Linked DNA regions of Elephas maximus indicus. The protein of the gene in region 3 purifies or fractionates together with the protein of the main gene of each other region. This does not show direct contact. Links are inferred from orthologs where the notes say so. Each region holds a gene or a part of one and is shown on either strand. Other genes may lie near its edges. The genes, in order: POLR3B, PFDN1, PFDN2 and PFDN4.

The links.
Region 1: the proteins of PFDN2 (region 3) and POLR3B purify together in Homo sapiens (affinity purification with mass spectrometry; 3 studies listed by BioGRID and IntAct, with this or other methods). This does not show direct contact. The link is inferred for Elephas maximus indicus from reciprocal best matches to the Homo sapiens genes PFDN2 and POLR3B.
Region 2: the proteins of PFDN2 (region 3) and PFDN1 purify together in Homo sapiens (affinity purification with mass spectrometry; 5 studies listed by BioGRID and IntAct, counting the BioPlex papers as one, with this or other methods). This does not show direct contact. The link is inferred for Elephas maximus indicus from reciprocal best matches to the Homo sapiens genes PFDN2 and PFDN1.
Region 4: the proteins of PFDN2 (region 3) and PFDN4 purify together in Homo sapiens (affinity purification with mass spectrometry; 6 studies listed by BioGRID and IntAct, counting the BioPlex papers as one, with this or other methods). This does not show direct contact. The link is inferred for Elephas maximus indicus from reciprocal best matches to the Homo sapiens genes PFDN2 and PFDN4.

What each region holds. Positions count from the first base shown.
Region 1 is NC_064822.1:173,470,841-173,477,685, forward strand, and holds the start of POLR3B (DNA-directed RNA polymerase III subunit RPC2), read left to right. Parts: upstream 1-3,830; 5' UTR 3,831-4,015; coding exon 4,016-4,087; intron 4,088-6,845. UniProt on the Homo sapiens protein: Catalytic core component of RNA polymerase III (Pol III), a DNA-dependent RNA polymerase which synthesizes small non-coding RNAs using the four ribonucleoside triphosphates as substrates.
Region 2 is NC_064820.1:153,561,238-153,568,129, forward strand, and holds the start of PFDN1 (prefoldin subunit 1), read right to left. Parts: upstream 3,019-6,892; 5' UTR 2,987-3,018; coding exon 2,954-2,986; intron 1-2,953. UniProt on the Homo sapiens protein: Binds specifically to cytosolic chaperonin (c-CPN) and transfers target proteins to it. Binds to nascent polypeptide chain and promotes folding in an environment in which there are many competing pathways for nonnative proteins.
Region 3 is NC_064821.1:199,927,134-199,934,320, reverse strand, and holds the start of PFDN2 (prefoldin subunit 2), read left to right. Parts: upstream 1-4,181; 5' UTR 4,182-4,218; coding exon 4,219-4,293; intron 4,294-7,187. Other genes in the region: DEDD (death effector domain-containing protein), read left to right, coding at 1-121; NIT1 (deaminated glutathione amidase), read right to left, coding at 1,482-1,748, 2,027-2,152, 2,308-2,441, 2,666-2,769, 2,878-3,132, 3,400-3,498, 4,066-4,067. UniProt on the Homo sapiens protein: Binds specifically to cytosolic chaperonin (c-CPN) and transfers target proteins to it. Binds to nascent polypeptide chain and promotes folding in an environment in which there are many competing pathways for nonnative proteins.
Region 4 is NC_064843.1:15,426,239-15,433,850, forward strand, and holds the start of PFDN4 (prefoldin subunit 4), read right to left. Parts: upstream 3,012-7,612; 5' UTR 2,815-3,011; coding exon 2,791-2,814; intron 1-2,790. UniProt on the Homo sapiens protein: Binds specifically to cytosolic chaperonin (c-CPN) and transfers target proteins to it. Binds to nascent polypeptide chain and promotes folding in an environment in which there are many competing pathways for nonnative proteins.

The DNA.
Region 1 (6,845 bases), on a different chromosome or scaffold from region 3:
ACTTTGAGGACTAAAGCGCACCTGACCCAAGCCGTGATATTTTCAATTGCCTCATATGCATGAGAAAGCTGGACAGTGAATAAGGAAGACTGAAGAATTGATGGTTTCGAATTATTGTGTTGGCAGAGAATGTTGAATATACCATAGACTACAAGAAGAATGAGCAAATCTGTCTTGGGAGAAGTACAGCCAGAATGTTTTTTGGAAGCAAGGATAGCAAGACTTTTTCTCACATACTTTGAACATGTTATCAGGAAGGGCCAGTCCCTAGAGAAGGACATCGTAATTGGTAGAGTGCCAGTGAAAAAGAGGAAAACCCTCAACGAGATGGACTGACATAGTGGTTGCAACAATGGGCTCAAGCATAACAACGATTGTGAGGATGGCACAGGGCTGGGCAGTATTTTGTTCTATTGTACATGGGGTCACTATGAGTTGGAACTGACTCAATGACACCTAACAACAACAACAAATCTTTATGGAAGCAGACTGCCACAGCTTTCTCCTATGGATCAAACCACCCACCTTTTAGTTACCAGCTGAGCTCTTAACCACTGTGCCAGCAGGGTCCTTGAGAGGGAGGACAGGGAAGGTTTAAGGCAAGTCTAGGTGAAGTGGAGAATGGACTAGAGAGACTATGTGACTGTACAGCAGCATTAGGGGTCTACATGATGTTAACCATTAACCAGTTGCCATAGAGTTGATTCTGCCTCATGGGGACCCTCTGTGTGTCGTAGTAGAACTGTGCTCCATAGGGTTTTCATTGGCTGATTTTTCCGAAACGGATTGCCAGGCTTTTCTTCCAAAGCACCTCAGGGTGGACTCGAACCTCCAACCTTTTGGTTAGTAGTCAAACTGATTGTACCAGCCAGGGACTCCTACATGAAATTAGTTGGCATGAATTTAAAGTGAAACCAGTTCAACATGGTTGCATTGCTCCCTCCTCATTCACTTGCATAGGTGCAGACGTGGAGCAGGCACAGGGTTGGCTTTAGTCAGGGCTGAGGTCTTGCTAAGCACGCAAGTGTGGTGTGGAAATGACAGAAGGCAACGTGTAGAGTGATGACTGAGCACTGATGACCGGCACCTCAGCAGATGCCATCATTATAGATGACGTGAAAGAAAATAGACCTGCCCTTCCTCATGCCCTCATCCTATGAAAACCCGCTGGAACTTAGATGGGACCCCAAATTAGAGGAGATCGTGTTTCTGCCTACTCAGGGGGAGGAGGGCTGAAAGTAGAAATTAGGGTCAGCTGTAGAAAAATAAAGTTGTACCTCTGTTTGGCACACTGGGGTTTGAGCTTCGAGATTATCCGCTATATGTATACTACCAGACGTCACGTTACATTAAATTTATTTTTGTCTTCCCACATGTTTGTGGATAAATGACTGGTTGAAATGCCCTTAAGATTTATTCAGGCAGAACCGGTTTTGTACAAATAACGTGTGTTTCAAGAAGAAAAAAATGCACATTATTAGACTATATATTTAGTTTTGATCAAAATTACATACTTCAGTATGAGTTACCTGGATTTTTTTAGCCAGGTATATTTTTTATATCCTCTAATTTTTTTTTCCTGATTAAAAAAATATATATAAAATGTTGACAATATACAAAAATGCAAAAAAGAAAATAATAAATAGAATCAGCCCTGAAGCTGCCAGTGATAGATAACCTGTATTAATATTTTGATGTGTTTACTCCCAATATTTTTTTTCTGTTCCTATCAAAGTGCCTTGAACTTAGTAGAAATCAATAAATACGTGTTGAACATCCATATTATAAAATTACTAACTTGAGTTCATCATGTACATCTATAATTTTTACTGTATTTTTCACTTGCCATTCTATTGATAATTTTTCCATGTATTAAAATTTTTTGCATCTTTTTTTTTAAACGGCAGTGGTTGCTGATTTCCCCCCACAAAAAGGAAAATAGCTTTATTTCAATGATAAAAATTACACATTTTCTGTAAAACATTTAAACAATACTGGAAACGGTAAAGAATAGCAAATCACACCAACCAGGGATAACCAGTTACAATCATTCCCTTTAACCCTCTGCACTGACGAATGCATGTAATGTACATAGGTGGGACATTATTCATGTAACATGTTTTTTCTCCATTCTCACTTATCAACAGGTGTGGCCATCTATGTCAAAAACAGAGATTTCTGCAATTACTTCAATGGATGTTTATCATTGCAGTGTATCAATGCATCATCATATCAGCTACTCAGCTGACATCTAGGTTGTTTCTTGTATTCTGCTTTTATAAAAAATGCTTCAGTTGGACGATCTTGTACATACATGTTTGTACAGATTTTCAGTAATCTCCTTAGAATAAATACCTGTAAGTGGAATTGCTGGGTCAAAGGAAAAAATACATATATACCTCTAGAAAGATTGTAGCATTACAGTAACAACATACTCTCCCTCCAGCAATGTAAGAGAGAGCCTGTTAGTCTACTTTCTGGATAACACTTGATAATGTAAATCTTATCTGTACCAATTTGGTGGATGAAAAATGATTTATTTTGTTTCCATTTGCATTATGAGGTTGAATATATTTTCATATTAGCCATTTGCTTGTTAGTATCTTTTGCCTAGTTTTTCCCCTGTGATTTTTTTCCCCCTATTGATTTGTATGAGCCAAGTGTAAATTAAAGGACACAGCAGTTAAGCACTTGGCTGCTATCCAAAAGGTTGGCAATTTGAACCCATCCAACAGCTCTGGCTTCGCAGGAGAAAGACCTAGTGATTTGCCTCTGTAAAGTACAACTGAGAAAACTTTAAGGAGCAGTTCTACTTTGTCACGTGGTGTCGCTATGAGTGGAAATTGATTCCACAGCACCTAACACCGACAACATTGTAAATTAGGAATACCAATTTTTGTCTTCTGCCAACTTGTTTTTAAAAATCTGTATTCATGATGATTTTTTAAACATTTGTACAGACAATTTTAAATTTTTCATGAAATTAAAAAATCATGTTTAGAATGATCTCTTATGCTAAACTCTACCATGATTTTCGTTCATGATTTCTGATTGTGTTGCCACCTTGTCAGCACCTGTTCACCACCTCAATGGTATGAATATATTCACCTGTATTTTCTTCTAAAGTTTTGCTAACATTTAAATACTTAATCCAGTAGGATTTACTTAGACGTATTTTTTTTCCCTAAAGGATAATCATTTGTTCCAACATCATTTATTGAATAAGCCATTTTTTTCATACTGTATTTATTGCTGGGTCTTCTGTCTAGTCCTTTGAGAATACTTATCACTGTGGTGTTACTCTCTAGTGTGTTCATTCCTCCTCCCTTCAAGGTCATTTCGGTGGTTATATAATAAATTACATGCACGTGCCATACTTTAATCCCTTATGAGGCGTTTGGGAAGTTTCCTATTTTTTCATAAAATGTATACAGTTTCAGATTGAATTAAATACATTTTCTGCCTCGTTGGCCTAAGATGCGCAAATTATCCGTTCACAATTTTCCTGGAATTATTTTAAAAATTACAACCAACACGTCTTACTGGCTTCAATTATTTTAATTGGCTATGAGCTCTTTGGAAAACCTGGTAGCATACTGGTTAAGAGCTATTTCTGCTAACCAAAAGGTCCGCAGTTCGAATCCGCCAGGGGCTCCTTGGAAACCGTATGGGGCAGATCTACTCTGTCCTATAGGGTCGCTGTGAGTCGCAAAGGGTTTGGGCTGGTTTTGGTATGAATTCTTTGGCAGGGGGTTGGGATTACCCCGGCAAGACCTCCGAGCTACACCAGAGGGCGCAGTTCTCCGGCTCCGCCTCAGCCACATCCGGGTTTCCGCAGAGGTTCGGGCAGGCAGCAGACGGAACCTTTCCGTTGTGTGCCTGATAAACCTGCCCGGCGGGATGATTTAGGTCTCCGCGCACAGCTCTCCACGGATGCTGCAATTTGCTTGGGGCAGCGAAGCCGGGCGTGAGGGTTCTGTCTGCTGCTTCCTTCATCGTGAGCAGAGTGGGCAGGATGGACGTGCTAGCGGAGGAGTTTGGGAACCTGACCCCGGAGCAGCTAGCAGCTCCGATCCCGACGGTGGAGGTGAGCCCCGGGCACGCGGGGAGCGGAAGGGACCGGGACGCGTCCTCAGGGGGCGTTGCCCCGAGAGCTCTCGCCGCAGAGGGCCACCAGCGGCTACTGCGCATGCTCACGGGTCCGCGCGTCCGGGTTCTTTCGCGTCGCGGCCGCCGCGTGCACGTGGAAGGGCTGAGCCGGGACGAGTCGTCCGCCGCTGTGGGGCCTGGGAAGGCTCGCGGGGGCCCTGAGGTGGACCCCTTCCCGGGCACTGTTCGTGTGTCTGGGAGGATTGGCCTTTGCACCCACGCGGGGGGACGTATTACACCTCCCCAGCCTCATGGAGAAGGAGCCAGGGCCCCGAGGAGCTTAGGTTCCGAGCTCGTTGTAGCAGTAAAACCAAATCCTGTCAGTCTCGGGCTGGGGATCTTTCCTTTTAGCCAGGAGTTCAAATGTGGGCTACTGAGATATTTTAAACGCCCCGAAAATTAATCCAGATTTTTGCCTATGTGTGCGTTTGTTTTTCTGGGGAGAAGCTCCGTAACTTTGATCAGATTCTCAGAAGTTGAGGGTAACCGGCCTGCAGTGAGCTGCCTAGTGAAGTTCAGCTACTGAAATAGTTTTATTATCTGGAAAGGCGCGTATTATATCTGGTTGGTATGGAATGGGAAGGTGGAGAAATGAGGCTGGAGAAGATAGGGGAGAGATTTCAGGTAGAGAGAATACTTGAACCCTTGTAGGCAAGACCATCCGATGTTTATGAAGAAAAAGACAGGAGCAGAGATGCGCTGGTGGAGCAGTGGTTAAACGCTCGGCTGCTAACTGAAAGGTTGGCAGTTCGAACCCACTGGGAGAAAGATATAGCTGTCTGCCCTCCTTAAAGATTTCAGCCTTGGAAACCCCGTGGGGCAGTTCCGTTCTGTCTTATAGGGTTGCTATAAGTCGGAATTGACTGACAACTTTTTTTTTTTAAAGAAATGAAAGATGGGTAGGTAATGAGCGCCATTATGAAAGCCTTTGTTAAACATATGAAGGAGCTTGAACATTCTCCTGGGGGCAGTGAGATGCGATTGAAGAGTTTAAGTAGGAGAGTGAAATGAACAACTAATGTATTAGATTGTAAGAACCTCCTTGTAATCATTTGGCAACTCTGTGAAGTCAATCAAATTCAGTCTATGAATGCCCGCCTTACACTGCTGATCACCAGGCAATGCTGGATTTTAACTCTTGAAGAGTTAGTATTAATAGCATTTACTGAGCACTTACTATGTGCTAGGCATTGTTTAAGCATAACATGTATTATGCTGTTTAATCCTTGGAAATAAGTAGTTTTCACCCCGATCTTGCCAATGAGGTTTTGAGGCCCAGAAAAGTTAAGTAACTAGCCTAGTGTCAGAATCTGGTAGGTGATTGATCCAGAATTTGGACTCAGGAAGTCTGACTCCAGAGTCTTCCTCCTTAACTACTGACTGGATGACTTCACCAGATAGCTGAAGAAGGAGGCCTGTTGTTGTTAGGTGCTGTCGATCAGTTCTGACTCAGCGACCCTGTGTATAACAGAACGAAACACTGCCCAGCTCTGTACCGTCTTCGTGATCATCATTATGCTTGAGCCCATTGTTACAGTAACTGTGTCAGTCCATCTCATTGAGGGTCTTCCACTTTTTTGTTGACCCTCTATTCTACCAAGCACGGTGTCTTTCTCCAGAGTCTGGTCCATCCTGACAACATGTCCAAAGTATGTGAGGTGAAGTCTTGCCATCCTCGCTTCTAATGAGCATTCTGGCTGTACTTCTTCCAAGACAGATTTGTTCATTCTTTTGGCAGTCCATGGTATATTTGATATTCTTCCCCAACACCGCAATTGAAAGGCAGCGATTCTTTGATCTTTTTTATTCATTGTCCAGCTTCACATGCATGTGAGGTGATCGAAAACACTGTGGCTTGGGTCAGGCGCACCTTAGTCCTTAAAGTGGCATCTTTGCTTTTTAACACTTTCAACAGGTCTCTTGCAGTGTATTTGCCCGATGCAATGTGTCCTTTGATTACTTGACTGCTGCATCCATGGGCGTTGATTGTGGATCTAAGTAAAATGAAATCCTTAACTACTTCAGTATTTTCTGTTTATCATGATGTTGCTTATTGGTCCAATTGTGAGGGTTTTCATTTTCTTTATGTTGAGGTGTAATCCATGGTGAAGGCTATAGTCTGATCCTCATCAGTAAGTGCGTTAAGTCCTCTTCACTTTGAGCAAGCAAGGTTGTGTCATCTGCATAACACAGGTGGTTAATGAATCTTCCTCCAATCCTGATGCCGTCAATATCTTGGGTTATTTGCTCAGCATACAGATTGAATAAGTATGGTGAAAGGATACAACCCTGACACACAACTTTCCTGACTTTAAACCAATCGGTATCTCCTTGTTCTGTTTGAACGACTGCCTCTTCGTCTAAGTACGTGTTCATCATGAGCACAATTAAGTGTTCAGGAATTCCTATTCTTCGAAATGTTGTTCATAATTTGTTCTGATCCACACAGTTGAGTGCCTTTGCATACTCAGGAAAACATCTTTCTGGTATTCTCTGCTTTCAACCATGATCCATCTAACATAAGCAATGATACCCCTTGTTTCACATCCTCTTCTGAATCTGACCTGAATTTCTGGCAGTTCCCTGTTGGTGTACTGCTGCAACTGCTTTTGATGATCTTCAGCAAATTTTACCTGTGTGTGATATTAATGATATTGTTTGATAATTTCTGCATTCAGTTGGATTACCTTTCCTTG
Region 2 (6,892 bases), on a different chromosome or scaffold from region 3:
ATTGAAACAAGCAGAAGAAATGCACATTAAACAGTAACTGTAACAAGTCGCAAGCACCCAGAGTAATAAATGCAAGTTAGAAGAGAAAACCCAAAGATTAAAAACAAGAACAAGAAATGTAACAACTCACTACATTTGTATCATACTTCTAAGTTTCAAAGCATTCTCCCACATTAATTTGAATATTAATATGAGAATATCTATTAAATATCTCACTCCTCTCAATAACCCTATGAATTAAGAACAGCAGTCTCAACTTCCACAATTTACAAAGTGACTAAAATCATTAGGAGATTTGTGCACAGGGTTGCACAACTATTAGGTGAAAGGCAGGTACTTAAATCCATTTCTTTTGACCCCTATTTCAGGCATCTTCCATTTTACTGTCTTCAGTATTATTCAGAATATGGATATTTTTTAAGAGAAACACCAAAAAAGATAGAAAATGCAAAGCACTGGTAGAAGAATTGTGTCATGCTCTTCATACACACATGCCAAGCCAAACTCTACCCTGTGTATGCTTACTTAACTTGAACATAAACACAGGTCTTGGATACTCTTATTGAAGTGCCTGGAATGACTTCCACATGCTGTCAAACTTAAGCCTTACTAATAACATTTGTGACTACAGTACATGGCAAAGACTACTACTTAACTTTTATTCTGACTTTGTTCTCACCTACTAGTAAGGTATCAAAAGATTTGTTTGGGGGGAGGGAAGGCACCTAAAATTTCCCATTAGTCTCCATCCAAAAAAAGATCTTGAAAAAACATTAGAAGATGAAACCTTTGAACAAGTTTGCCGGGTTTTTTTTTTCTTTAATTGGTTGTCAGAACTATCCAATTTAAGTATCATTCTCATTTACATCTTTGTCTACATGTTTCTTAGCAACAAATTAATATTACAGGGTAAGTCCATTTAGTTTTTTTTGTAGTAAATTCAAATAATACTGTAAAGTCCATTCACACTTAAACTCCCTTGTTAGATCTTTCAGTAAACTACTAAATTTGAACTTTTAACAGAAAAAAAAGGTATAATTTTGGAATGCAGTCTGATAGTGTTCTGAAATGTAAAATTCCAGGTATTACCTGATTGTTCTCAACACAGTTTGTTAAGGAAGCTCGTATATTGTTAAAGCTATTACAGCACTAGAGAACACTACATAAGGGCTAAATTTACGGGTTTTAAGACAAAAAATGGCAAAAAAAGACACAAACACACAAAATCCTCACAGAAATAACAAACAGCTTCATTTATTAGGAGCAACAGCTATTTCAGCTGTCCTATTTCTTATGCACAAGCCCTGGTAGCACAGTGGTTAAGAGCTGGGCTGTCAACAAAAAGGCTGGCAGTTCAAATCCACTAGCTGCTCCTTGGAAACCCTATTGAGCAGTTCCACTCTGTCCTATATGGTTGCTATGAGTTGGAATCAACTCAACAGCAACGGGTTTGGTTCTGGGGTTTGATTTCTTATGCAAAGGCTGACCAGAAGGCAGTCTCAAGAAGTAATATGATGGACTTCTCAAGAACCTAAATTAATGGTCAAAAAAGTGTGGGGTAAGATAAAGAATACCGGATTCTAGTGCCAATCTTTGACTATAACTTTTCTGGAACTCAGTTTCCTTTTCTAGAGAAGTATACATTTAAGCTAGATGATTTCCAAGGTCCTTTCCAACCTCCCTCCGAAAAAATGGTATGGTTTTGGATGGTTAGGGTTAGGAGCCCCAGTGGCATGGTTAAGGCTCGGCTCCTAACTGCAAGGTTGCTGGTTCCAACCCACTGGCTCTTACGTGGAAGAAAGATGTGGTGACCTGCTCCTGTAAAGATTACGGCCTTGGAAACCCTATGGGGCAGTTCTACTCTGTCCTATAGAGTCACTGAGTCAGACTCGACTAGGCACCAATGTGTTCAGCGGTGTTAGAAACCTGGCAACTCTTAGATAACAAAATCTGAGTAACACATTTTTAAGCAATTATTTTAACAAAGAAACCCAATTCCTTCTGATATCTCTTTCATTGGTAAAACTTTACTGGACTTAATTACTTTTTTTGTCAAATCTTTCCCAAAAAGGAGCCCTGGTAACTCAGTGGTTATGAGCTCAGCTGCTAACCAAAAGGTCTGCAGTTCGAATTCACCCGCTGCTCCTTGGAAGCCCTACAGGTCAGTCCTACTCTGTCCTATAAGGTCGCTATGAGTCGAAACTGACTTAACAGCAACAAGTTTTTTTGGTTTTTCCGAAAAAGAAAAGGGGGTCAAAGTCCTGATATGAACATTCCTATGAAAATACCTGACTTTCTGAGCTGCAGAGACTGCAACCTTTCGAGGTACGGAATCAAATAAAAAAATTAAAAAACTGTCGCCGTCGAGTCGAGACAGACTCATAGCGACCCTACAGGACAGTAGAGCTGCCCCAATATGGTTTCCAAGGAGCGGCTGGTGGATTCGAACTGATGACCTTTTGGTTAGTAGCTCAGCTCTTAACCACTACACCGCAGGGCTCCATGGAATCGAATAAATGGCCTAAAAAGACAAGTTGGACTGGAGTTTTTCAAATCAAATGAAGCGGCAGAATTGCAGTTCAAGCAAGCCGCCCGAAGGAGCTCCAATCTGAAACGCTCTCTTCGAGTTTTACTATAGAACTGAGTCCCTGAAGGTTCCTAGCGCAACAAAACGGCTCTGGAGCTCAGAACGAGGGACAAGCCAGCGATCGGTCCGCAGACTTAAAGAGACCCACCCAACCGGCTCCTATCCAGCAAGAGCCACTCGCCCCCTCCCCCCCTTACCCAAGCCTAAGGAGACCCGGTCCCGCCTTAGGATTCTGGGAAACCACTTCCCAGTCCCCTGGAGCCTCTTTTTTTTTTTCTGTGGAACTCGGGCCTCAGTCGATACTCTTGTCTACAGGCCCCTCAGTTTCGAAAGAGAAACCTCTACCCGCTCAAAACCCTCTTTTACCTTCTTCAACTCCAGATCCACGGGGGCCGCCATCTTGGCTGACTTTGTGCGCCTGCGTATTGGGAGAAGGCCGGAAAGGAGACGGGGGAAGGGCGCGCCCTGAAGAAACTGCCTGTTCGCCTTCCTTCTACGCCTGCGCGTGAGTGAGGCGGTCTCTGAGCGGTTGGTCTGGCCTCAGAGTCTGTCTTCCCCACATGGCTTATCAGGCTTGAGTTGCTCTTCTCCATCCTTCAGACACGGCCCAACGCACAGACTACGTGTATGGGCTTAAAAAAATTGACAAATAGCTTAGTTTGTACTGCTAAATTGAGATGTATGTATATCAGACCAAACCTTCAGTTTTTCAGTCCTCCAGCAGGTCCCTGTGCTGACAGGGATGAGTAAGAATGGGTCCCTCGCCTCAGGCATGCTACTTTCATGCTGCTGAGTGCTCTCTGAAGACCTAGACAAAGTGGTTCTCGAGAGAAATCCAGTAAGTTTATTGAAAAAATACATGTTTCCTGGGCCTCATCCGGAACTTGTTAGTTGCCATGGAGTCTGCTTTGACTCATGGCGACATTATGCGTAACAGAAGGAAGCGTTGCCTGGTCCTGTGCTATGCCATATTTATGATCGTCGGTATGTTTGAGTCCGTTGTTGCAGCCATTGTGTAGTGCCATTTCACCTAGGGGGCTTATTTTCCACTATATCGGACAATATTCTGTTGTGATCCCTAAGGTTTTCATTGGCTAATTTTCGGAAGTAAATTTCCAGGCTTCTCTTCTTCATCTGTCTTAATCTAGAAGCTCAACTTAGACCTGTCCACTATGAGTGACCCTGCTGGTACTTGAAATACTAGTGGCATAATTTCCAGCATCATAGCAACATGTGAACCACCACAGAACTACAAAATGGCAGTCTGGTGGTGGCATCCCAAACGTACTTAAAATCTTTGACAGTGGGGCCTGAAAATAAGCATTTTGCAAACTCTCTGATGACCTAATGCAAGGCATTAGTGGGCCACATTTTGAGAATTTCTGCTCTAAAAGGACCTGACATTTGAACTAGAGGAATGAATAGTATTTGGACTTTTTGAAATGGAGGAAATAGATGTTTTATCTACCCTAAAAACTGAGGGAGAGGGAAGATCAGGGAATTTGGAACGAGCAAAATTCTGGATCTGGATTCAGGGCTTGGCCTACATTGAGCTTAGGTCTATTTGGTTCCATTTACTAACTGTGTGTCTCAGCAATTCATTTATCCTTGATGAGCTTCAATCTCCTCATATTTCACTTAGGAATAACAATATCGATCTAACAGGGTTATTGTGCAGAAAATGGGATCAGGATGAAAGTTCCAAGGACAGCACCGTGCACACAGTAGATAATAGATAGTTGCTGTAGTTAATATTATCCTGTTTGCCCTTCAAGGTCCAGCAAACATGCCACCTCTTCCGTTATGTCTTTTTTGATCCTTACATAACCTATCACACACACCAAAGATAATCCCTCCTCTAAATTCCCTCAAGACTATATCTGTTTCTCTCTCAGGGCACTGTGGTGCAATGAATCACTTTCACATGGCTCTTCTAGCCATGGTCTTGTACTCCCACAAAATGATTGGCTGGAACTATGCAAATGGAGTGACTATGGTCTACCAAGGGGATTGGTCAGTTTGTGGTCCTGGTGGGAGGGCCATGACTGGAAATTGACAAGGGGTTTCCTTACATAAGGGCCAATCACATAGAGGTTCAGGGGACCTCACTACCATCAGGAAGAAGAGTCTTGAGCAGAGCACGTCCTTTGGACCAAGGACCTTTGGGTCCCTTCCATGAGAACCTCCTCAACCAAAAAGAAAGCAAACACTGAAGACAGCATGAGATGGCAAGAGACAGTGGCTGTGAGCATGTCAGCCCACTGAGCAAGGTGGCTGTGGTGGGGTTGCAGGCCCACAGAGTGAGAGCTGAGCACCTTCGAGCAGAAGACTTACAGGCAGAGCTAAAATAGCTGTAACACTTGCCTGTGCAGGGCGGATGTCTGAGTGTGTCCCATGCAGGGGTTGCCTTGGATGACCCTGTGCAATATTCCTACTGCAGGGCGAAGCCGGGAGCCTTTGGCCAGGAGGCTTGCCACAAAACCCAGTACCATCGAGTCGATTCCAGCAGAGCTAAAAGAGCTGGTAACGCTTGCTCCTGCAGGGAAGAGAGGCCTGAGTGTGCCTCTGCAGTGGTTGCACACCTCCCTCCCTGGGCAGCAGGGGCCCAGGTAATGTGGAGGCAAGAGAGCCCTGCAAGCCTGGGTAGTGTGGCAGGAGCCAGCAGTAAAGGCCAGCAAGGCCCAGTGGCAGCAGAGGCCTCAGGAGCCATACAGGACCCCACAAGCATCATGGTGGTAGCCAGAGGCAGCAGTGACATGAAAACAGCATCTGACATCTGACCTGAACTATGGCAGTCCTGCCCTGCAACATAAGATGGACATGGATAATTTGGGGAAGGGTAAGCGATTCTCCTTTGGTGAATCCGTTGTTACTATTTACTGTTTGCTTTCTATAAATAATAATGGCTTTCACTTTCCCAACATTGTATAAGTGCCTCATATGTCCAGCTCGAAACAGATGAATGTAACACCCATAGAATTGGTGATGTCAGTGGGTGTACATGCCTCATTCCTAGCAGTCTGTGGCTGCCTGAAAGTTTGAGGCACAGACCGTCTGTATGTGTAAGGCAGATAGACAGACACGTAATTCATACAGGCGTGTAACAGTTTCTACCTTATTTTTTGAAACATTTTTTATTTGTTCTTACACCCCTTACCCCAGAACACCTATCATAGTGCCTCACAGGAAAGAAATACATAAGAAATCTTGGATATAAATGAATTCTTCAGAAGAAGAAAACTGTCATCACTCTCTAACTTTACAGAAAAACAGGCCTAATTCATAATTTTAGATCCTCTACTGCCTTCTTAGAACTTCATTATAAAAATTATAGATGATCAATAATAGTGACAATATTGAAATTTGAAGGTTTCGGATACTTTGCTGTGCATTTCATCATGTGATTTTGAAACGCTCCTCATGAAAAAAAAAAAAGTATGTAACATGAAAGTACGGGCTAAGGTCAGACAGTTTAGGTTCAAGTACTGACTCCTTAATATCAATGTGCCCCCAAAGACTGGACAGGCCCATAAAACAAAACATGGCTAAAGGGGAACACCAGCCCAGAGGCAGGGACTGGAGGGCTAGAGAGTATAGCAAAGCTGATAACAGGGAACTCAAGGTCCAGAGGGGAGAGTGTTGACATGTCGTGGGGTTGTTAACCAGTGTCATAAAACACTATGTATACTATTTAATGAGATGCTGGTTTGTTCTGTGAACATTCGTCTAAACTACAATTTTAAAAAAAAAAAAAGATCAATGTGCCCTTAGGCAAGAGTCTTCTCTCAATCTTTTGTTCATTGTTTCTTTTTGCATCCCACTCCTTCCTCCTTGGTTTAACTTCCTTCTTGATGAAATAAATCCTTCAGTAGGTTCTCTTATTAAGTCTTTGAGGAATAAACTTTCTTTTTTTACATTAATATATGATTTATTTTATTTTTGTTGTTGCTGAGCATATACATACCAGAACATACACTAATTCAACAGTTTCTACATATACAACTCAGTGACATTGATAACATTCTTCGAGTTGTGCAACCATTCTCACCCTCTTTTTCTGAGTTATTCCTCCCCATTAATATAAATTCACTGCTGTCTAAGTTTCCTTTGTAATCTTTCAAGTTGCTGCTGTGAGTTTCATACCATATAGATAGATCATAAAAGAGCACAATGCTCAAGTCATTCTTTACTAGTTAAGCAAAACTATCGTTTGGTTTTAAGAAGACTTCAGGGAATATTTTTGGTTTAAGGTTTAGGATTACCTCAGGGCAATCATTTCAGGGGTTCATCCAGCCTTTATGACTC
Region 3 (7,187 bases):
CTCTCTCAAGCAGGCTGTGGGCCATGAAGCCATCAAGCTGCTGGTGAATGTGGACGAGGAGGACTATGAGCTGGGCCGACAGAAACTCCTGAGGAACTTGATGCTGCAAGCATTGCCCTGACCTTTCCCCCTTCTCACCTCTCTGGGGACTGTTCCCACCACCCACCTCTGGAGCTTACATACTGTTCTGGGGTTTGCTGTCTACCCTTCCAATCACATCCCCTGCCCCCCCCCTTTTTTTTTCAAAGGAAAAGACAAAGGAAAGTGGAAGTGGTATACCCCACCCCTCCCTGTACCCATGTGCCTGGGCTTCCCCTTTGTTTCCCTTTTCCACTTACCCCAGTATGTGTCTCTACAGCCACCTTACCACTGAGCCGTAAGACAAACGTGTAGGGAGAAGCAAAGTCTATAGAACATAGTCTTTGTGAGGGATTGAAGTGAACACTGCTTGTGGGTGCGTTGAGGGGTTATCAATCCTTCTGGCTTTATGAGGGCTCTTAAATTTTGTCTGAAAAATGAAAGGGCTGTGAGAAAGGGAGCTATGTGGAAGGTGGGACTCTGAAGTGTATTTTGGAAATTAATCACCACCCTCTCCCAAATTATAGAATTTTTAAAAAACAAGCTGTGGCCCTTTCCACTCTCTCCTGGCCTCTGGTGCTGCTCCTCTCTGCCTCCTTTCCTCTCTTCCACGGCTTAAAGCCTCTGCCTGGTGTGGCTCCTTCCTTTTTCTCCCTTGCCAAACCCTCTTCAAGGGAGTAATAGGTGAGAGGACTGGATCAGCCTAGTCACTCCTCCCAACTGTGATGTTGTGTATACACATCCACAGGGTGGATGGAGAAGAGTCTGCTGATGAAAATACACTCCCCCTGAAAAGGGGAAGGGGGAGTGTGACATTTTCCTTCCATGTTCAAGTGAAAATAAATAATGTACCCTGCAGCCCTTTTCCCCTTTGCTTTCTTTTGACTTGGGCAAAGGGCATCATATGTGGAAGTGAAGTAATTCAGTATCAATTCCCTCCTTTTTCCTTCCCCATTCTCCACCCCCTCTGCCAAGCCCGGGAGAACAGGGCTGGGACATGCACTGAATGTTGCACTTTCCTTTAGGTCGGGAGGCATGCTGAATAAGCCAGGAGGCCAACAACTAGGGCCCAGTCCAGCTGGTACAACACGACCGCCCCTTCCAACTCCCAAAGGAGATGTCCAAACACAAACTTAATGATTACATTTTTTTTTTCAATGCCAGTGATGCTCAGCTCTCAGCATAACTTCAGTTTTCACGAAATAAACAGTGACTATAAAATCCACCTTTCTGAAACTGAAATCTGAGCCCAGGTGAAAGTTTCTTTCCCAAAAAGCTGAGCACGTGTTCCATCAAAAAGAGTCAAAGTTGTCCAAGTGAGGGCTGCTGTGCCCGGGTCCTGCCTACAAGTCACAGCAGTATCAGCTCACAATGGGGGTCTCAACTCACAGAAGTTAAAATGCTTAATACAATGGTTGACCCAGACTGCCATAGAGGTCAGGCCTGCGGTGCTGGAACACAGGCAGGTGTTGGCGCAACTGTCGTAGATAGTTGAGATCGACTCGGGCAAGGCAGAGGCCTGGTCCTTCAGAGCAGCGGGCCACCACTGTTCCCCAGGGATCCACCACCATGCTGTGGCCGTAACTTGCTCTCTTCTCATGATGGTGGCCACATTGTGCTGCTGCCACTACATAGCACTGGGTTTCAATGGCCCGGGCCCTCAGCAACACCTGGGGGCGAGGAGATGCGTGTTCACTTAACTACACATAGCAGCTAATGGGAAAGTAATAGGTGGAGATTACAGGCCAAGTGCATAATCTACCCTTCGTGACTGTTCTGTCAATTGCCTAGGAAAAGTCAACTATCCTGTAACATATGAGAGCTAGACAACAGTTTGGAGAATGAAATTCGCACTAGGTGGAAAGGGGAAGAAAATCTATTAGTAGGGTCCAGGGAGGAGAACGAGGCTAAGAGACAGCCCTTAGGTTTCAAAGAGGCATCCTCTTACCTCCCAGTGGGCTGGGCCTGTAACAAATCCAAAGGCTGAAGGGTAGGTAAGTATTTCTGCACCAGCTTGAGCCAAGGCCAGAGAGAGTTCAGGGAACCGCATGTCATAGCAGATAGCTAGACCAATCTGGAATGAAAAGTCTATTTAGCCTCCCTGTCCTGTTTCCGACAGCATCTAGTCATACCTCTGCTGTTCCACTCCTTAGGGCTTTCCACCCTTTACCACCACTTTGAAAGTTCTCCTATCCCCCCTCCTCCTTGTTCCTCTCTCACAACTCCCACCTTGCCTGCTGGTGTGCTGACAGGTGGCTCGAGACTGGGCCCAGGTATGGTAGAGTTGCTTTCATGCATGGGTGCCTGCCCTGGGATATCTACATCACACAGATGCGTCTTCCTATAAGTGGCCACTACTGATCCTACAGTAAGAAGGAGAAGAATTGCCAGTGCTGGTGCACTAGAAGCCCAGTTTAGCTCCTCCGCCCATCTCCAAACAGAAGATGGTTTATTGGCTAGGAAGAGAAGTACAAACACCCCTAAAACCCTGGGGCAAGGAATTAAAAGTTGAGAAAACAATTCTGGGGATCTAAGTTTAGGTAGAAGAGCCTGGGAAGAGGCAGGCTAAAGGGTTGTGAAGTCTCACCCTTGCTGTTCAGAAGCACATGACAATTGTAGATTTTCTGAGTCTGCTCCCAGTCTTGGCCACGCTCATGGAAACCACCCAAGGACAGCCAGAGTCCACATTCCCTGGGGGGAGGGGACACAGACAACTCTTCTCAAGGCTCTAGCCGCCTACTGGCAATCCAAGGATACTGCACAACAAAGGCTACCTCTCCCTCCCCTTTTCCCTGATACCTGGCAAGCTCCGTATATTCTCCCAAAAGTTTCCCACCCAGTGGCTCAGAGAGGTGTAGTGTCTCCGCAGGGTCCCGTGCAATGAAGTCAAATGCCTCAGGCAGGAAAGCCAGGCAAGCGCCCAGTCTGGCAGCCTCTCGAACCAGCTCAGCACATGTTTTAAAGTTCTGCTCCTTGTCTGGTGTCGATGTTACCTGGCACACAGCCACCAGGGGCAGTTCCCAGGAGGAAGAGGAGATGGCCATGGCTCTGGGCCTGTGAATGGCACAGACAGAATTCTCAGACATCCCAGCATGGGGAAATTCAAGTTTAATGATAAGGGGTTTAAATGGGGAGACAGGAAGGCTGGACTTCCCTTTGATTCTGCTCTTAACAGGGCACACTGACCAAAGCCTAGTGGGTTCACCAATCAAATGTTCTGTGGATGGTTGGCACCCCTGTGTCTCCCCACCATCCATTCATTTAACATTCACTGAGTATCTACTATGTGCCAGGCACTGAGGACACAACAAAACACATTACCTGTGCTGAGCACAAAGTACTGAGAGTCGAGGTATTCGGAGTCCAGGACACAGAAGGAGGGGCAGGAGCTGGTGACAAGGCCTGATGATGAAGCCCAGCCTGAGGAAGATGAAAAATCAGCACACCGATCCCTCCTTGAAGCCATACGTTTCTGGGATTCTCTAACTTCTCCCTTCACACTGTGAGGCTGAATCAGAACCCTGCCAGTAAAAACTCCCAAGTCTTCAAAACACTCTAAGCAATCATAGGCTACAGGAAGAGGTCACAAAGTAGGAAAGTAGAGGAAGGGGCTCTGCTGGGCGCCGGAATACTTGGACTTACAGCGATCTCACATTACACAGAAGCCCTTTTCCTCTGTCAAACGTTTCCGCAGTTCAAAAGTCACCTACAGGAAACTTCCTTGATTTTCCCAGGCCTTTCTTCTCGACTGTGCGTCTGCACAGCTTTATTGACTAAACGCATATTTCCCCCTCACACCGAGAATCTCCGAAGGGAAGTTCACCCTCCCTCGATCCCGGCCACGAGTACCCAGATCCCAACCCGTGCCCCCACCCTCCAGTCAACCCATCCTTCTCCGCCTCTCCCAGGGGCCGCGCCTCTGTTGCACAAGTTAAAGCACCGCAGGTGGAATTCACCGCGGCCGGCGGGACGGGAAGCAGGTCCTACATCAGGATACAGCCGAAACCATCAGCAAGGTCCGGGGCGAAGAGCGGCCTGGAGCCAAAGGCGCCGGAGGCGAGTGGGCGGTAACTCCAAGACCGGACGTGACGCACGGCGGGGGCTGAGCCGCGCAGGCCGGAAACCCAGCAGGCGGCGAAGATGGCGGAGAACAGCGGTCGCGCCGGCAAGAGCAGCGGTAGCGGCGTCGGGAAGGGGGCGGTGTCGGCCGAACAGGTGAGAAGCGGAGAACGCCAAGGAGAACAACCCCGGCTGGGTCCGTAGTTGATGCGAGGAGAGGGGGGCCTGTGGCTCGCATAGGCCTTTACCCGAGTTGCACATTTGCATGGCCACCTAGAGAGGGGAGGGTCCTTGGAAACGCCAGCCGAGCCCCCCGGGAGAGAGTGGGCCGGTGGGTAGGTGAGAGCCACGCCCCGCTGGGGTGATGGGTGAACCTGGGAGAGTGGAAAGCCCTGGGGTGCAGAGCCTGGGAGGTTGCACAAGTCTGAGGGAAGATGGGTCGTCACTTTCCCCACCTTCCCTCTGCACCCCCGAGGCAGGATATGGCCGGGCAAGGCTGCTCATAAGGAATCCTAGGGCCTTAGACAACGGGCTGGTTGTGTAGTATGTTGTTACGTGACCCTGGAACCACGTGGACAATCGCCGCCACTCTGCAGAGCCACGTGACTCACATACTCGAACAGCCTAGTGTTCTATACTAGATTCGGGTGTCATTACTAGATTGAATTTCTTAAGAGACCAAAAGCCTTTTTCTGATCCAAGTTTGCGTTTCTCCCAGTGCTTAGCGTCAGAGACATTTGATAAATTAATCAGAAAGAACCTTTGTGGCTTGGAAACCATGGTTTGCTAATAGTGGGAAAAAAAAATAGTGTTTGATCGGAATGGTAAGAAACCTACACAATAGAAATGAAAACATATTTAAACAGGATCAGTAATCAAGTGGCATAAGGTTGCATTTGAACTTAGCTGTTTTAATTACAAGTTCATTCAATTATTTGTTGAACAGTTACTACAGGCAAAGGTACCTTGCATAAAAAATTTTAAAACCGTCCGGTGCTATCAAAGAGCTGATAGCCTGGTGGGGAAAATAAAACACAGAAAATACTCATATGAAGCAGAAGACAAGTGTCCCAAGAGAGATGTAAAGTGCTATGGAATTTTGGGGAGGAGGGAAGAGAGAGTTTCTTACTTAGGGGCAGGGCTTTGAACCGGTTCTTCCTGGGTCAGTCTTGGCCAAGGAAGCAACACGAAACAGACCCAGATTTTTAAAATTTTGGTGAACCGGAATGATACCCTGAAGGGAAAAAAATAGGTCGAAACCCTGCTAGAAACCTAATCTCCGTCTTAGAAAACAAGGGCAGCATACGAAGTTGCACAGCAACCAAATCTCTTGCCGGTGGGATTTTGAGCGGAGTCAGAAACATTGGTGCCCCTCTCAAAGATGGCAGGAAACTGTGTGCGTTGCTCTCCGCAGTCCTGCCAGTAATCCAGTTTCATGCCTCAGGCTCCTGAGAGGGGTCATTATGCCTTTTTTGAGTCTCCCATTCCAGGGCTTTGACCATTTTTCCTATTCCTAGTTAACATTCCGGAGCACCCAAATTGTAAAAATTGGAGTCTGTTCGGGTTGTGCTTCATTGGCCATGACTGAATCAGTTGGAACTACTTCAGGGCCCTGCTTAGGGGAAAAGCGGGAGGGACGGAAGTAACCTAGTACTTCTTAAGGGTCTGCCATGTACCAGGCACTCTCCTGGGTACAGGGAAACATACAAATGAAATTGTCTTTGTCTTCAAGTAGCTCACATGCTTACAAACCAAAGATTTTCAGTGTGCCTCACAGCCCCTCCTTTATGGTTGCTCAAGGAGTGACCCCTTAACTTAGCAAGAGGTTATGGAATTTTGGGAGCAGGTGGGCAAGGGAACCTGTGGTGTAGAGGGGATGGCTAAGAGCATAAGAACAGTGCACTGAGATCAGACAGCCCGGGGTATGAATCTCATTTCTTCTGCTTACTCTCTATATATGATCTACAATGAGTTCCCTCAGCTTTTCCCATCTGTAAAAACATACTAAATAGAACTGACTTCATCACCGTATGTTGATAATTAGGCAAAACAACATAAAGTGTTTTCTAGAGGAGATTCTTCTTCAGCTCAGTTCTAAAAGATAAATTAGTTAAGCAAAGAAGGAAGTAGAAGATTTTCTAGATAGAGGAAATAATGTATTAAAAAGCACTAAAGTATGGAGTTGCCCAGCAATTTTGGGGAGCAGGTGGACTCAAAGTTTGAGATGGATTGCAAGATTGAGAGTGGAGTAAAAGAGGAATTGCTCTGGTTTTTGTCTTTGGTGGATAATGGTTCTTTGGGGAATGTAGGAGAGTGAACAAGTTTGTGGGGAAAAATGAGTTTAATTTAGGATTTTGAATTTCAGTTTCTCATGGGATATCCCAGTAGAGACATTTAGTAGGTGGTTTGATCTATAAATCTTGATTAATAAATCCTGAGTTACAGAAGGAAATTTGAGTTGGAGATACAAATTAGAGAGTTATGAGCTTATGGATAGTAGATAAAGCCCTGGTTGTGGATGAAGTCATCTGGGGTATAAGAATGGCGTGGAGGCAGCATCTGGCCCCCTCTAACTTCACAAGGGGGAAGAATCATTATTATCAGTGTCAACAACCCAAGGCTGATTGCATGTCTCCACCCTCCAGCCTTTTTACCAACTCTGATACCATCTGTCACTCCCATGGCAGTCTACATCTTTGTTGGGTTTGATAATTTGCTGCAGTGGCCACCCAAAACTCACAGACCATACCCACAGTTATGGAGTTTATTAGGAATAAATAACAGGTTACAATTCACAATCAATCAGGAAAGTCTCAGGGTACAGTTTTTTGATCATATTAGCCTCTTGTCAGCTGTTCTAGCAGGCAGGCCTTTCTCAGGACCTCGGCCCCTCTGCTCGGCCTCTGCCCTGCCTGAACAAGTGTTAAAAAGCTTTTTAGCTCTGACAGTAAGTGCCTGGAGGCACGCCACTCTGAGGAATCCTCCTGCCCAAAGGTGCAAAGCTTTTTCACTCTGTGGGCCAGGAAGCCCACCACGCTGCTGTTTCCTTG
Region 4 (7,612 bases), on a different chromosome or scaffold from region 3:
ATGTGTTACAAATGGGAAGTACTTGAAGTGGTTAAGAGCTCGGCTGCTAACCAAAAGGGTTGGCGGTTCAAATCCACCAGCTGCTCCTTGGAAACCCTATGGGGCAGTTCTACTCTGTCCTATAGGGTCACTGTGAGTCAGAACTGACTTGATAGCACAAGACAATAACAAGAAGATACAAACAATTTTATCACAAACGGCAATCATTATGACATGCCGATAAGGTTTCTCCTATAGTGGGCAGAGGGAAAAAGTGTCTGTCTGTGTAGCTAACCTAAAACCAAAACCAAACCAAACCCACTGCCTCCAGTCAATTCCGACTCACAGAGACCCTGCAGGACACAGAACTGCCTGCATAGAGTTTCTAAGGAGCACCTGGTAGATTTAAACTGCCGGCCTTTTGGTTAGCAACCATATCTCTTAACCACTATGCCACCCGGGTTTCACCTAGCAGTGATTACTCCTAACATCGAAAACATCCAGAGCAGCATGTAGCATCTACCACGCGACTCTCGATGGCTCCTAAAGCAAAGAAGAAAACTTTCTGTGTGGCCGCCACTTTCTGTTTCCGCACACGCTCTTTTCCCATCCTGGGTCTCCCCCGGCCCTCTATCCTCTGCCATTCTGGCTTTCCTTTTGTTAAATGCACTCAGGCTCTTTGCAGGAGACACTCCCTCTCTGGAATGCCTCGCCCCCTCGGAACTTTCCCTTCCTCTCGGTGTGTAATCTAACAGATCTCTGCTGAAATGACACCTTCTCAGGAGGGCCTTCCCTGAACTCAGACCAAACCTTACTCCAGTCCTCATTTCACAAGTGCCTTTTCTTCACAGTTCTTACCAAAGGTGGAAATTTTATATTTTTTGGTGTGATAATTTGAGAAACAGGCTGCCTTTCCCCCTAGAGCACATGTTCTGTGATGCTCTGAGGACAACGACTTTACTCCTATTCACCTAACACAGAGACTATGCCATATTGCCTGCTCGAAAATCTCTGCTGAATGAAAGGATAAAAGGTTGGCAACCGCTGATTTAACCGAACCCATAATGGAGTACCCGATGGAAAAATTTTGCAAAGTCCAGGGTTCGAATAATTTTTCTACCATTTCCTCCATTTCTCTACACATCAGTGTCCTCATCTGTAAGATGGGGGCTAACATAACTAATATCTTTCAGGGTATTAAAGGTCATACCTAACAGATGGACCAAATTAGCAAACTGAAGGTGAAGTGAATCTCCCAAAATTTCAGACCTGTTTGAATCACCACGGCCCTGAACCCTCTTCCAGTCCTCAATAAGCATTTGTGAATGACAGACCAGTAGGGTGACCAGCTCATTCCAGTTTTCCCCAGGACTTTACTGGTTTTACCACTGAAAGTCCAGGGTCTCAGGAAACCCCTCAACCCTGAGCAAACCAGGATGGTCTCTGGAGACCAGGGAGAGGTGGCTTAAACTATGCAATACTGAAAAGTAGGAGAGCAAAGGAAGCAAATGCTTCTGAGGTGGCCTCAGAAGTGGAATGAGAACAGACATACAAAAACCTTGGAAAGCAAGCACCTTCAGCCAGGGGATTCTCATGGCATGGGAGTTAAAAACAAGGCTCTGAAGGCAGAAGTCCTGTTTAAATTCTAGCTTTGCCTCTATGCTTGTTTCCTCATCTGTAAAATGGGGATAAAAATATCACATCCCTATAAACCTGTAGTAGCACACAGGAAAGCCGCAATAACTATCGACTGGCATTATGTCCTTGCTCCGCCACCACCACCACCCTCATTTAATTTTTCTTTTACCTGGAGATCTTTAAGCATCGGGGTAGATTTACTGGATTGTAAATCCCAAACTGGAACCCTGGTGGTGCAGTGGCTAAGAACTCAGCTGCTAGCCAAAAGGTCGGCAGTTCGAATTCACCAGCCGCTCCTTGGAAACCCTATGGGGCAGTTCTACTCTGTCCTATAGGGTCGCTATGAGTTGGAATCCACTCAGTTGTAACGGGATTCGTAAACCCCAAATAGGAAGCAACTTGCTTAGCAGGAAAAAAGGTGGCTTTGGGAAAAAACAAACCAAACCTGGGTTTGAACCCCAGATATACTATTTATGAGCTCAGTCACTTTGGGGACACTAACCTCTCTGTGTCTAAGTTTCTCCACCTGTAAGGGGGAAAAGGGGAGGATAAGGGATAACGGAAGACTGCTGGGTCCTGACACAGCCTCTGGCTTCAATACCGGTTTTAGCCTTGCGGGCTCAGGGGCATGGAGTATGGACGTGAGCACCTCAGGGCTGGGCGCACCGACGTGAGGCCAGATAATCCGGAGGCGCAGGTCTGGCTCTGCCCCTCACCTGCTCTGTTACCTTGGGTAGGTTCCTCCACCTCTCGGAAGCTCAGTTTCCTTACCTGTGGGCGAGGGTACTACTAGCACCTACCCAGTAGTAGATCCAGGGAAACCGCTTAGTGTGATGGCCAAATGCGGTCACTGAGAGCTTCGGCTTCCCACACCCCAAGGGCCGCGGGGTCCTCAGACCTCCCAGGGGACTCAGCACCGCGAGAGGCGGCCTGAGCCTGCCGAGGGTCCCAACCCGGGCACGTCGCCTCTGTCGGGCGGCGGCCTAAGAAGACGCCCGGGGCCGCCGGGCGCCGGCAAGCCTCGCCGCGGGGCCATCCTCAGGGCTGAGACCTCGAACCCAGGCCCCACGCCGGGGCTCAGAGCTGCGCATCCCCAGCATCCCGCTGCTCCGACCCCCGCGGCCGCCCCCCGCCGGCTGCCGGAGCACCCGACACCCCGAAGGCCCCACTCACCGCCTTCTTCATGGTGGCCGCCATCTTGGGACTCGACTACGGCGCGAGGTGGGGAGGGCCGCAACGGCGCGATTCTCCCCCGTGCCCTCTCTCACTTCCTGTTGGCCCTGATCGCCTGAAAAATACAACACGATCTCCACATTCCCTTCTCGAAACCTTCAACCAACGATAACTAACGACTCGAACTCAGGAAGGAAGATGAAAGCTGAAAGCACTTGGTACATCCCAATTAAAGGGACAGGCAACCCCCTGTGGGCCCACGGAAACAGGGGGGTGTGGCAAGCAGCCACATAATCCAGCAGCCGGCGGTAGGGGGCGCCCAACGCAAAAAAGCGCAGAGGGGCGGGGCCGGGAGGAGGGGCGACTCCGTGGGCGGGGCCTGGAGAGGAGGAAAGGGAACTTCTATTCCATCTATCCAACAAACTAGCATTTTGATAAAGAGCTAAGAACAAAGGGCTTTGACAATAGGATGTGATATTTACGTGCACTGATAATTCAGAAGGTGTGAAGGAAGAAGTACCCCAATTAATTAATCTATTCCACAATATTATTGGACAACTACTGTAATTTTTTTTTACTGTGTACAGCTTGAGCCTGCCAGTTGCTAACTCAGCAACTCTAGATCGTGATTCTCTTTGTCCCTTTTTTAATACCGGGACTCCTTTGCACTTTTAAAAAGTCACGGAGGACCTCAAAGAGCTTCTGTTTATGTAGATTATATTTATCGATATTTACCACACGAGACCTCTTTAAAGTGTTAAAAAGCAAAGATGTCACTTTGAGGATTAAGGTGCGCTGACTCATCCATGGTATTTTCAATTGCCTCATATGCATGTAAAAGCTGGACAGTGAGTAAGGAAGACACAAGAAGAATTAGTGCCTTTGAGTTATGGTGTTGGAGAAGAATATTCAATATACCATGGACAGCCAGAAGAACGAACAAATTTGTCTCAGAAGAAGTACAGCCAGCGTGCTCCTTAGAAGGGAGGATGGTAACACTTCATCTCACGCACTTTGGAGATGTTATCAGGAGGGACCAGTCCCCGGAAAAGGGCATCATGCTTGGTAAAGTAGAGGTTCAGAGCAAGAGGGGAAGACCCTCAAGGAGATGGATTGGCACAGTGGTTGCAAAGATGGCCTCAAGCATAGGTACGATTGAGGATGGGGCAGGAGTAGGCAGTGTTTCGTTCTGTTGTACATGGGGTCGCAATGAGTCGGAGCCAACTCGACAGCAAAACAAAACCATACAAGAAATTAAAACATAAAAATATATATATGATTTAATTAAAAACAATAAGTTCATTCCATATTAATGTAAGCAACATTTGAATGAAAAATAACTGTTTTCCAAAACAAAAACAAATATTGAGAAGAATGGCATTGTTTTGCACTTCTACAAATCCTTCTAATGTCTGGCTCGGTAGAAGGTTGTATTCTCGTATCTGCTTCTGCAGTCAATCTGTTGCGATATGCTATTTAGTTGAAATACAGTGAAACCTGTGAAAGCCGGAACTCGATGGGAGTGCCTTGTTTTTCCAAGTTTTGCAAGTTTTCCCACCTTTGACAAGGTGCTTACTAGCTCTGTCTATCAAGACTCCTACCTCATTTTGGTTTGGGGTTTTCCTTCTCCAGCAGGTTTCTTCCTTACACAATTTCCAGCTTTCACAGGTTTTACTGTATATGAAGGAAATCTGGCTTCACCCAGATGTATAGTTGGAAAAAGGAAGCCCCTGTGGTTTCACTGGAAAGATCTCAGGGATCCCCAGGGGTCCTTGGGCCACACTGAGAACTGCTGCTCTAGACAAGTCTTCTCCTCTCTCCAAGTTCCAATTTCCTGTTTGGTTAAATGGGGGCAAGGGGACCTTATAGTGCCTCTGCTTTCCCTACCAAAGCACTTAGCCCCACAGTGACTTTGCCTGTTCTTCCATCAGATTCCCCGCTCTGGGCGCCAGGCCCTTTGTAGGCAAGTCTTCCCAGCACATAGCTCACACTTGCTCAGCACATATTTGTTGAAGGAAGGAGTTTCTTCAGGTTAAGTCTTTGCACAGGGCCCAGCACCTAGTAGATGCTCCATCAGTGACACCCATTCATGCAAGAGCTCACAAAGAACAGCTATATGGAAACACTGTAGAAGCAGGCAATGGAGGGGGAGACAGGACAAAAGCACAAAATCACCACAAATGGCACCAAGTGCATGAAGGAAACAAACGAGGGGCTGAGACAGAGAAAATCAAAAGAGCAGTAGAGACTGGCCCTGTAGAGGTGGCCACTGAGCTACGAATAGGAAGGAGCCAGCCATGGGGTAACCAAAGGAAAAGGACACCCCAGACAGAGGGGGCATTGGGGTGGCCACTGCAGTAACTGCTGGGTGTAACAAGTGGCCAGAAGCAGGTGAGGCCAAGGAAAGGTGAAACCAAGAGGATCTAAAGTGACAAATGACAGTTGTGTGAATCAGAGACCCATAAAGTAGGCTTGGAAACTCAGATGGTGGTGCCTGGAGGATACCTCTGGGGTGACTGAAATAGATTCTGTTCAGGTACTCACAATTAGGATGGTCCGCATGCTAATAGATGTGCCGCTGAGTAGCTTCCTCATCAGGGGCAAGCTTGTTATCATGCCTTCTCAACATCTGAGTCTCTTGTTATCTATTCATGGAGCCTAAATGCTACACCAGGACATGTTTGGCTCTGAGGACAGAAGGCCTAACTGAGAGTGGCTGGTATAATAGGGGGTCATTTTTTTTCCTCTAACAAGTGACATGGAGGTAGGTAAACCCTGGTGGCATAGTGTTTAAGTGCTATGGCTGCTAACCAAAAGGTCGGCAGTTTGAATCCACCAGGCGCTTCTTGGAAACTCCATGGGGCAGTTCTACTCTGTCATATAGGGTCACTATGAGTCGGAATCGACTCGACAGCAATGGGTTATGGGTGGAGGTAGGTGATGGCTGGGCAGGCTCAGCAGTTCCAGGAAGTTCTGGCTCTAGACTGGATATTCTGTGAGTCTTTGGCTTTCCCTTCACAAGATGGCTGTTGCTTCTCCAGGTCCTCATACAAGTACATATGAAGACAGGGAAAAGGGGACAGAGCCCACGTCACCGTTTACGCTCCCCCTCATGTGTTCTCTCTCTCTCTCTCATGTTCTCTCTTTTTCAAGGAGGGAAACCTTTCCCAGAATGCTCCAGCACCCTTGCCCTTATGTCTGTCTTTTGGGCCAGAACTGAGCCATATGCCAACCTCTAGCTCAGTCACTGGCAAAAGCAATGGATTAGTGATTACCTTAAACAATCATGATTGTTATGGCTGAAAATATGGCTGCCTAAATACAATTGCCACCACCTGTCTGTCAGTGTGTCATACTTTGGTGGCTTGGCTTGTGTGTTGCTATGATGCTGGAAGCTACGCCACTGGTATTTCAAATTCCAGCAGGATCACCCATACTGCACAGGTTTCAACAGAGCTTCCAGACTAAGACAGGCTAAGAAGAAAGGCCTGGCAAACTATATCTGAAAATCAGCCAATGAAAACCCTATGGGTCACAACCGAGTATTTTCTGATAAGTGCTGGAAGGTGAGCTCCCTAGATTGGAAAAAAAAAAAACAAAAAAATTTAGATTGGAAAAAAAAGGCACTCAAAATACACAGTGGCCACAACAATCAAGTCTAGCCTGCCAACAATTGTGAAGGTGGTGCAGGACTGGGCAAGGTTTTGTTCTGTTGTACTTGGGGTTGCCATGAGTTGGAGCTGACCCTGGCAACTAGCAACAACAAACACAATTGGGTTTCTGAAAACAAGGAAAAGGAAGAAGGAGGTAACAGCTGTTGGGCCAGCAGCCAACAGTGTCTTCCACGTGGGAGTTCTGGGTTATCAGACGAGGATTGTCAACAAGGGCTGGGTCAAATGGGGCTGGACAGAGGCTCAGGGACGAGGGGAGTGTCACTGAATCTGGACAGATGGACTGCTCCCTGACAGCCTTGGCTGTAAATTGGCTCACCTTGGAGACCCTTGTTTCATTGGTGCTCAGAGGTTCTCCTCCATTTTTCACAGTCCGTACCCCCTCCTCTCCCCAGCCCCGGGTGTCATTTCAGCTAATCTCTCTCCTAGCAGGAAACCCAGTTCTGCAAGTACACATCTGGGACTTTCAAGCTTTCTGCTTAGCATTCTTTCAGTTCCTTAATATCGAGAATTTCCAACTTTCATTTCCAGCTCTTTCGTTGGCTGGGGACAGTCCTTAGCTGTTTGCAGCAGAGAAAGGAAGAAGCCCAGGGTGTCCGTGGGAGCATCCGGAGACTGCAGGTGAGGGAAGGAAATCACTAATGACCCCAAAGACCACTTGGAAATACCATGCTGACAGAGGGTGAATGATGGCGTTCGCTTGCATCAGGTTGAAAACTGGCTGCCTGCTACTGTATTCGACCCACAAAGAATTTTTTTTTTTTTAATTGAACCAGCATTTAAACATTGGCATTTTTTAGTGTTGCTTGAGCTTGTAAGATCAAGTCTTGTCGACGCTTCACTTCCTCCTGAAGGTACCTGTTGATGCTGCTGATTAAATGGTGACCCATTTAGCTAAGCGGCCCTCTCCAGAGCCCGCAGATCCCCACTCATGGAATGGATACACAATTGGAGGAGCTGCCTCTGTGGTGGTCTACCTGTCAGGCCCCTCCAGGCCTACAAACGTGCAACGCCCCGGCTTCTGTTCCGATACAGCTAGATGAGGGGGTTTGTGTGTGCTTGATTCGTTTGAAGCTGTGCCATACCAGATGCTATTGTAAATAAACCCATTGCCATTGAGTCAATTCCAACTCACAGTGACCCTACAGGAC